Linked DNA regions of Macaca mulatta. Each later gene encodes a partner of the first gene's protein in a complex. Links are inferred from orthologs where the notes say so. Each region holds a gene or a part of one and is shown on either strand. Other genes may lie near its edges.

Region 1 (3,808 bases):
GGGCTTGCTCTGTCTCATTTGCTCAGCCATCTTACTAACTGCTGCTCTTTAAACAGTCAGGGCTATTCTATTTTTCTTCTTAGCATCATTGTGGAACAAATAATGAAAGAGGAACATAGATATTTAACGTTTTTAGATGTCCTCCACATGCCCCTTAACAGCAGGTCAGGAGAATACAAGAGGCCATGGCTGGTTAAGAGTATGGGTTCTCGGCTGGGTGCAGTGGCTCACACCTGTAATCCCAGCACTTTGGGAGGCTCACTTGAGCCTGGGAGTTCAAGACCAGCCTGGGCAGCATGACAAAACCCCGCCTCTACTAAAAATACAAAAACTAGCAGGGCATAGTGGTGCATACCTGTAGTCCCAGCTACTTGGAAGGCTGAGGCACGAGAATTGCTAGAACCTGGGAGGCGGAGGTTGCAGGTTGCAGAGAGTTGAGATCACGCCACTCCTGCCTGAGTGACAGAGCGAGACTCTGTCTTGATTAAAAAAAAAAAAAAAAGAGGCCAGGTGTGGTGGCTCACATCTGTAATCCTAACACTTTCGGAGGACGAGGTGGGTGGATCAGTTGAGGTCAGGAGTTCAAAACCAGCCTGACCAACATGGTGAAACCCTCTCTCTACTAAAAATACAAAAAATTTAGCTGGGCGTGGTGGTGCACGCCTGTAGTTCCAGCTACTCAGGAGGTTGAGGCAGGAGAATCGCCTGAACCCAGGAGGTGGAGGTTGCAGTGAACCAAGATCGCACCACTGCACTCCAGCCTGGGCGACAGAGGGAGACTCTGTCTTTTTTAAAAAAAAAAAAAAAAAAAAAAAAGCATGGGCTCAGAGGTTGGATGACCAGCAGCTAAATCGAGGCTCACCTCACTCGAGCTGTGTGACCCTGGGCAATCTGCTTACTGTCACTCAACCTCAGTTTTAGTAAAACAGGGATGATGACAATACCTACCAACCATACATGACTGTTAGCTTTATTATTTTACCAACATCTTGTAACTCCTGGAGGACCTTCTATGTAACAGCATTCATTGCAACAACACTCTTCAGTTTAAAGGTTGAGTTAAAAAGATCACTTCAAAGTCCCAAGTCAAATAAACTACAACAAACTCACATGAGAAAAATCACAGGGGCAATGCTTTGAGCAAAGGCAAAAGTCTTACCTCACAGGAATAGCTTTAGGCACTGTGCTGATATTATTTATTTGATATTTAGGCTTCTCTGCATGGATAGAGAAAGTTTCAACTCCACTGTCAAACTCAGAAGGCTGTGCCAAACTGTGCGATTTCACAAGAGTTTTTGGAGAAGTGGGAGTTTTTGACAAGTCAGGTTTATGTGCAGTTTCACTTGGCAGAAGATTGTGATTGAATTTAGGACTTTCAAACTTGCGTTCAAACGGTCGGGCAGAACTTGTATATGGTTTTGGTGTGAATCGATTGTATGCTGGAGTGACCGTTTTCTGAGTCTGTTCAGTTCCATTAACTGGGGCTTTATCTGGAAAACTTTTCTGGGGATAGAAAGCTGGCTGAGCAGCATCTTCTCGGTTTGGTGGTCTGAAAGTTGCTGGCTTATTCTGAGACGGAGGTGGGTCTGGTTTGGACACTAAGGAATTCTGAAAATCCAATGACACTGAATTACCTGAAAAACAAACATAAGCATTTAAAAACCTTTCTGAAAAAAGGTGTAACAGCCCTCTCCCAGCTCAACTTGTCCTGGTGCTGGAGTCGAGGCCCAAGTGTGAGTCGCACAGCCAGAGGCTGACTCCTGAGCCCCGGAGGCTAGGTGTGGTGCTGAGGGATGAGGGCAGCACTGACAGGCGGTACCATGGGTAGACCCTGCTGCCCTGGAGTCAGGGTCCAGCTGCTAAGATTCCTGGCCTCCAAAGACTGGCACTAGTCTTTGTGAAAACCAGAATGTCCAATAACCATATAATAAGGACATTCACTATTAATTAGAAAAATGTAAAACAAAACCAACCAAAAGCATTAAATACTATTTCACACACACTAGAATGGAAAAACTGAAAAGTTTGATAATGCCAAATGTTGGTTAAGAAGTGGAACCACAGGATTTTTTATGTGCCGGCAGAGGCAGTGTAATATAGTACCAACTGAACTCTGTGAAATAATTAAAGACACTACAAGACAAGAGAACTACTAATCCAAATTCCTCATGAACATGGCAATATAATTTACCACAGTATGAGAAGAAAAATCATATGGTCATCTTAATACATGCAGGAAAAACATCTGACCAACTGCTTGCAGCAAACTCTGAATATGGGGAACATCTTAAACACGACAAAGGACATCGACGAAAATCCCACCGCTAACATTCTAAGGGTAAAACATGAAGTCCTTCCTCCTTAAGATCAGGAACTAGCAAAAGAGGTCCAATTTCACCACTTATGTTTCAGAGTTCATTGGAGGTCCTGGCCAGTGCAATCAGCAAGAAAAGAAAGAAGGCCAGGTGCGGTGGCTCACGCCTGTAATCCCAGCACCTGAGAGGCCGAGGTGGGCAGATCACCTGAGGTCAGGAGTTTGCGAACAGCCTGGCCAACATGATGAAACCCTGTCTCTACAAAAAATACAAAAATTAGCTGGGCGTAGTGGTGTACGCCGTAGTCCCAGCTACTCAGGAGGCTGAGGCAGGAGAATCACCTGAACCCAAGACACAGAGGTTGCAGTGAGCTGAGACTGTGCCACTGCACTCTAGCCTGGGCGAGAGCAAGGCTGTGTCTCAAAAAAGAGAGAGAGGAAAAAAAAAAAGAAAAAAAGAAAAAGCATAAAGACTGGAAAGTAAGAATTAAAACTGTCTTCATCTGTAAACATGGTCGTGTGTGAAACAAAATCTTAGTAAGTCTCAATCCAGAACTATAACACGTCTGCTTGAAGACTCAAATCCTGGGAGGTGCCTCCTAATGGAATAAGAGAGAAGTCTGTGCTACGAGAATGCCTGTTCACGGCAGAAGAGATAAACACTTTGTGTTACACGCTGAGGGTAAAACGTTACACAGCTCTTAAGATGAATAAGCTGGAGCTGTATGTGATCTACCTGGTATGTAAATGCAAAAGTCAAGGTGCTATGGGATACATCTTCTGTGAAACACCATGGCTTTTCTATTTGGGTGTGTGAAGATGAAACATAACAATACGTTTTACAAACCATCTTTAGATATACTGGCAAACACTACTTCCACAAGATTGAGACTAGCACAAAACAGATTAAAATCTGTTTAGCTAAAAGGCTTGTCCAAAATAATGGTCTTGTAAAAACAGGAGACATACTTTTAACAAAATTCTTAGTTTTTACTGTTCCCAGCCCAAAGGTTTCAATCATGTATTTTTTAATGTAAAAACCATTTTGCCTAGAAACCACCAGAATTTTACTTCTTAAGCATTACTGTGTTATAATGTCTACTTCCGAACTTCCTACCTTCACCATGTGCTCCCTTAGAATGTATGTGGAGAGACGCGCTGGTGACAGGTTGAGATGGCTGGGCGTACTGCGAGGGCAATGGAGGAGGAGGGGGAGTGACCTGGAGGGGTTCATAGCGTTTCTCACCAAATGATCTATCTACACCATCAGCTTCAGGAGGCTTTCCCCTGTTAACAAATGAAGAAAATGCCAACACCTGAAAATGGACTCACATTTACAAAACAAGTTCTCATTTCTGCACGTATCTCTTAAGTTAACTAGAAATTTCACAATTTATTCTCGTGAGTATGGGTAGCTACTCTACCGAAATATAAAAACAGATTCAACCATTTATCGGCACAAGAAATGTCCACACACACAAATACTTTAAGAAT
Region 2 (4,484 bases), on another chromosome or scaffold:
TGAGCCCAGGAATTTGAGGCTGCAGTGTACTATGACAGCCTGGGCAACATAACAACGTCTTGTCTTAAAAAAAAAAAAAAAAGAAAGAAAGAAAAAGGAAAAAGAAAAAAGGACACACCTCACCAATTTTGAAATGTGAACGAAATGCAAATAAAGCAATAGTTTTTTGGAACTCATCACTTTGCATTGAATTAGGCATGGAACAACCACTACTCATTTGTTAAGATAATGATGCTCTGGATTTAAATTATATATCCTGTATTCTAAGATCCTCGTTACTGAACTGATTGATAGGCAAGCCTGGACCTGGGGGGAAGTGGACTAATCAGAAACAGAACCCTGCATTCCTTCCCTTTGGCTGACTTATACAAATAAAAGAATAACATTTAATTGACAAAGGATAATAGCTTATAAGTAAGATTGTTATGTTGGAGATGTGTTAACTTAAGTCCTTTGAATTAAAAGCTAAAACTCAGTTTTACCTTCATGAATTGATTAGAGAGAAAATTACCAGGTCCTTTGCTCTTTTTTAAGAGAACTGTGGTGGCTACCTGGTAGAAAACAATTCTTAAGTCACACAACCTCAAAAGTTAAAAGTGCTAACTTTTGAAAAGGATGTTTGAAATGCTTTGGAAAATTGCACAACAGTTGAAGCAGTAAATAATATTAAGCCATTACAAATCAGGACAAATATTAACAGACCTTGCATATAACTTCTATGTATCTCTTCAATACGCCCTTTGCCTACAGCACTCAGGGCACAAAAATCTGGGGAAAACTTAAAACTAAGATCTGTTTATCGGAGCTTTTTACCTTCTACCCAGAAGAGTTCGTGTTTCTTTAATTCTGCCATTACACAGTACTTAAGACATCCAAAGCAACTGCAGTGATACAACTCTATGCTAAGTTTTTAAAAAGATCAGTAAACTTAACCCACAACTCACAGTATTTTAATCAGGAGTTCTGGAAGTAAGGGTATTTTTCTGTTTTTTTTCCATACCCTCTGAGGTTGAAATTTTTTTACTCTTTTACTCTGAATAATACCTAAACCCTCCCTAGGGAGAGAAATATTTTACTCCTAAATGACATTATTAACGCATTTTTCTACAGATATTAATGTACTGGAGATATGCTGTTTCCTGCTTATTAGGAAATTAAAATCCCTTTCATTTATATAGTTTGATTTTTTATAGCGCTTTCATATACTCACTTGAACGTGTACACGACACAAACATACAACAAATTTAGACTTATCAGGCATACCCTCAGCCAGAACTTATTCAAACTTACTCGATTTCACATCGTCTTGATGTTAACAAAATTAAGCATGAGCACAATGAAATCCGTATTACTACCAGTTCTCAATGAACAAAAAGAAAAACCAAATTCGCCCATTTCGCAAGGGAAAAGTACTCCCAATCAGACAATCGCAAAAAAAGAAAAAAAATCTCAACCATACATTCACGTAAATCTTTTCAACTCAGAGCTCCAAACGCAGTCGACAACCACACAACTGCCCACAATCACAGCGGTAGCGCCTACTCTTAATTTTGAAGCTAGAGACTTAGGATACACACACACACACACACACACACACACACACACACACACACACGTTCTCTAAAGTTTGACACACACACACACGTTCTCTAAAGTTTGACAAAGTGGGGGAAAAGTCATTTTAAGTAAAGAAAACGAGTTAATCAGGAGGCGATGAGCCCAGTCCTTCCGCCCCGCTTTCCCGCTTCCAGCCCTCGAACTAACCCTCCTCTAACCCCCGAGAGGCAGGAGTTCTAGCGGGAAGATGCGGAAAGCGGCCGGAGACTCAGGGACCGAAGTCGGGGAGACAAAGAGCAGCCCGCGAAGCGCCCGGGTGGCGAGGGGCGGCCCGGCTCCGCCCTGCGCCCCTAACCGCCCGAGTAGTTGTCGGCACCGCCGGGGCGCCGCCGAGTGCGCGCCGCCTCTGCCCGGGCTCCCCGACAGTCCCCCGACAACTCCGCGGCCCAAGACACCCCCGAGCCGTTTCCCTCCGGATTTGGGAGCCGCGCGCTTGGGGACAAAGAGGGAGGGTGCGCCGGGGGCAGTGGCAGGACGCGGGCCGGCGACGCCCCTCCGGACTCGGCGGGAACCCCTCGGCGGCGCCCCCCTCCTCCCCCCGCTCCGGCCGCGCTCTTCCCTGGACCTCCGGAGGTGCTCCTCGGCCCATCTTCGGGCTCCCCACGAGTTCTCCCGCCTCCCCCTGGGACCCCGCCCCTGGCCCCCTTCTCCTCAGCCGGCCCTGCGGCCGCCCCTCACCCGGCGGCGGGTTCCCCCGGAGCCGCCTCCTCCGCCGGGCCTCGGCCCGTCCCGCCGGCCGCGGCCTCATGTGCCCAGCGTCGCCATCGCCTTCGCCTTCACCCTCGCCTCTCCTCCACCTCCTCCGCCGCTGCCGCCTTCGCCTCAGTCTCCAGCCGAGGCAGAAGCCGCTCCCGCCGCCGCCGCCGCCGCCTCCCGCTCCCGCTCCCGCCGCCGGGACCCGCGGGAAGGCGCCTGCGCACTGCGCGCTGCGGTGGGGGCGGGGGCATCCCGCCGCGGCCCGGGAGCGGGGGGCGCGCGGCACGTGGCGCTCGAGTGGGAGGGGGCGCCCCGGAACGCGCGGGAAGCGACGGGAGCGCCAACTTTCCGCGGTCGAGTCCTCGCCGTGCTCTCGGATAGTCCGGGACGCGGGGGAGGCGCGGCGCGCGTGTGAGTCACCCGCGTGGAGTTTGGACCCCGGGTGGGCGCAGACTTCGCTCCGGGCAGTTCTCCTCCAAGCTGATTTTCGGGCGAGAGTCCCCTGCTAGCCGCGCCTCAGTTTGAGCTGGCCGCTAACGGCGCCGTGGGTTCTCGCCTTACCTGGGTATCCTGGGTTGGTTCAGCGGGCCCAGAGTTGTCTTCTGCGCGCTCCGCCGAGGCCTTGGTCCATTGTAGCACGGGATGCTAATGTCTCCTCCTAGGTTCTGCTCTACAATTCCTCGAGGATCTGGCGGGCCCTGGGTGGATCTAGCTACCCTAGCGTCTTTGAGTCGGGGCTCTTAGAAGTGCTCTAGATACTTTTCAGGTCCTGAACTTCTCGGATTAGCAAGACCCTAATAGGCTATTTCCTCTTAACTCTTTGCATCCCAGCAGGGTCCCATTCAGAGGACTTGGGAAAATTTTTCATGCATAGGAATCCCCAGTTTTAAAATGCCCAGTAGGAAACCGAAAATTCTCCAAATGCTTTAAGTAGAGTGAGACTTTGGCTAATAAAGGAAGGCTTAGTAAAGAGATGGGCGACCTCTGGAATTATCTCATCTGATCATCAGAATGCCGATGGATAGGCTTTTATTATTTTGCCCTTTTGACCAGAGGAAATTAAGCGCTAACAAGTGAGGTTACTTGCTGCAAGTCAAACTCCCCAACCCAAAGCCAAGCCCTAAGGGCTAGCCGCAGAGTGGAAAACTTGAAGGCTAGGCATCTAATGCACTGACCAGTTTTTTGTGGCCAGTATGGTGTTTTCCAAAAATATGAATTAATTACCAAAATATTAAAATCCAGATTTCTGGCCTCCCTAAAAAGTCAAAACGTGCTTACTTTGAGCTGCTCTTTTCACATGGCAGCTCCTCTTGAGTCACCTTGTCCGGGTAGGCAATGTCCCCACTCAGCTACTTAAATCATTTCATGACCTGCTTGGCCTAGGAGCATTTAAGTACTTCTCCCTGTGATTGCTGTAGTCTGTCCCCACGTCTTATCACATTGCCTCTCTACAGATGTATTTAAAATGACAAGTGTGGGATGGATGCGGTGGCTCACGCCTGTAATTCCAGCACTTTGGGAGGCCTAGGCAGATGGATTGCTTGAGCCCAGGGGTTCCAGACCAGCCTGGGCAATATGGCAAAACCCCCATCTCTACAAAAAATATAAAAATTAGCCGGGTGTGGTGACACGCACCTGTGATCCTAGCTACTCCAAGCATGAGGTGGGAGGATCGCTCAAGCCCAGCAAGGCTGCAGTAAGCTGAGATGGCGCCACTGCACTCTAGCCTGAGCGACAGAGTGAGACCCTGTCTCAAAAAACTAAGTGAAAAAAATAAAATGACCAGGGTGGAAACCCTGAAAATACCTGGAAATAATAATAAATAACATGTAACTAAAATAACACAGTAAACAACATCATTGTACCTGTTGAATAAAATATTAAAATTCTCACAGCCTGCAACTGTAAACTAGCATAAATCACTTTGTTGTTTTTGTTGCTTTTGTGACAGAGTCTCACTCCGTCGCCCAGGCTGGAGTGCAGTGGGGTGATCTCGGCTCACTGTAATGTCCACTTCCCAGGTTCAAGAGATTCTACTACCTCAGCCTCCGGAGTAGCTGGGAATACAGGCACCCGCCACCATGCCTGGCTAATTTTTGTATTTTTAGTAGAAATGGAGTTTCACCATGTTGGCCAGGCTGGTCTCAAATCCTGACCTCAAGTGATCTCCC

What was found.
Region 2: the proteins of TJP1 (region 1) and GJC1 are in contact, whole or in part, in a crystal structure (PDB 3SHW), measured with the Homo sapiens proteins. The link is inferred for Macaca mulatta from reciprocal best matches to the Homo sapiens genes TJP1 and GJC1. Residues at the interface, in NP_003248.3 of Homo sapiens: Lys429, Ser432, Val433, Gly434, Leu435, Arg436, Leu437, Gly449, Val450, Leu451, Val484, Leu487, Leu488, Leu549, Asn551, Gly552, Lys553; in NP_001073852.1 of Homo sapiens: Lys391, Thr392, Ser393, Val394, Trp395, Ile396.

The regions. Positions count from the first base shown.
Region 1 is NC_133412.1:8,707,960-8,711,767, reverse strand, and holds part of TJP1 (tight junction protein 1), read right to left. Parts: intron 3,602-3,808; coding exon 3,432-3,601; intron 1,635-3,431; coding exon 1,160-1,634; intron 1-1,159. UniProt on the Homo sapiens protein: TJP1, TJP2, and TJP3 are closely related scaffolding proteins that link tight junction (TJ) transmembrane proteins such as claudins, junctional adhesion molecules, and occludin to the actin cytoskeleton.
Region 2 is NC_133421.1:69,206,344-69,210,827, forward strand, and holds the start of GJC1 (gap junction gamma-1 protein), read right to left. Parts: upstream 3,062-4,484; 5' UTR 2,875-3,061; intron 2,568-2,874; exon of another isoform or gene 2,296-2,567; intron 2,029-2,295; exon of another isoform or gene 1,765-2,028; intron 1-1,764. UniProt on the Homo sapiens protein: One gap junction consists of a cluster of closely packed pairs of transmembrane channels, the connexons, through which materials of low MW diffuse from one cell to a neighboring cell.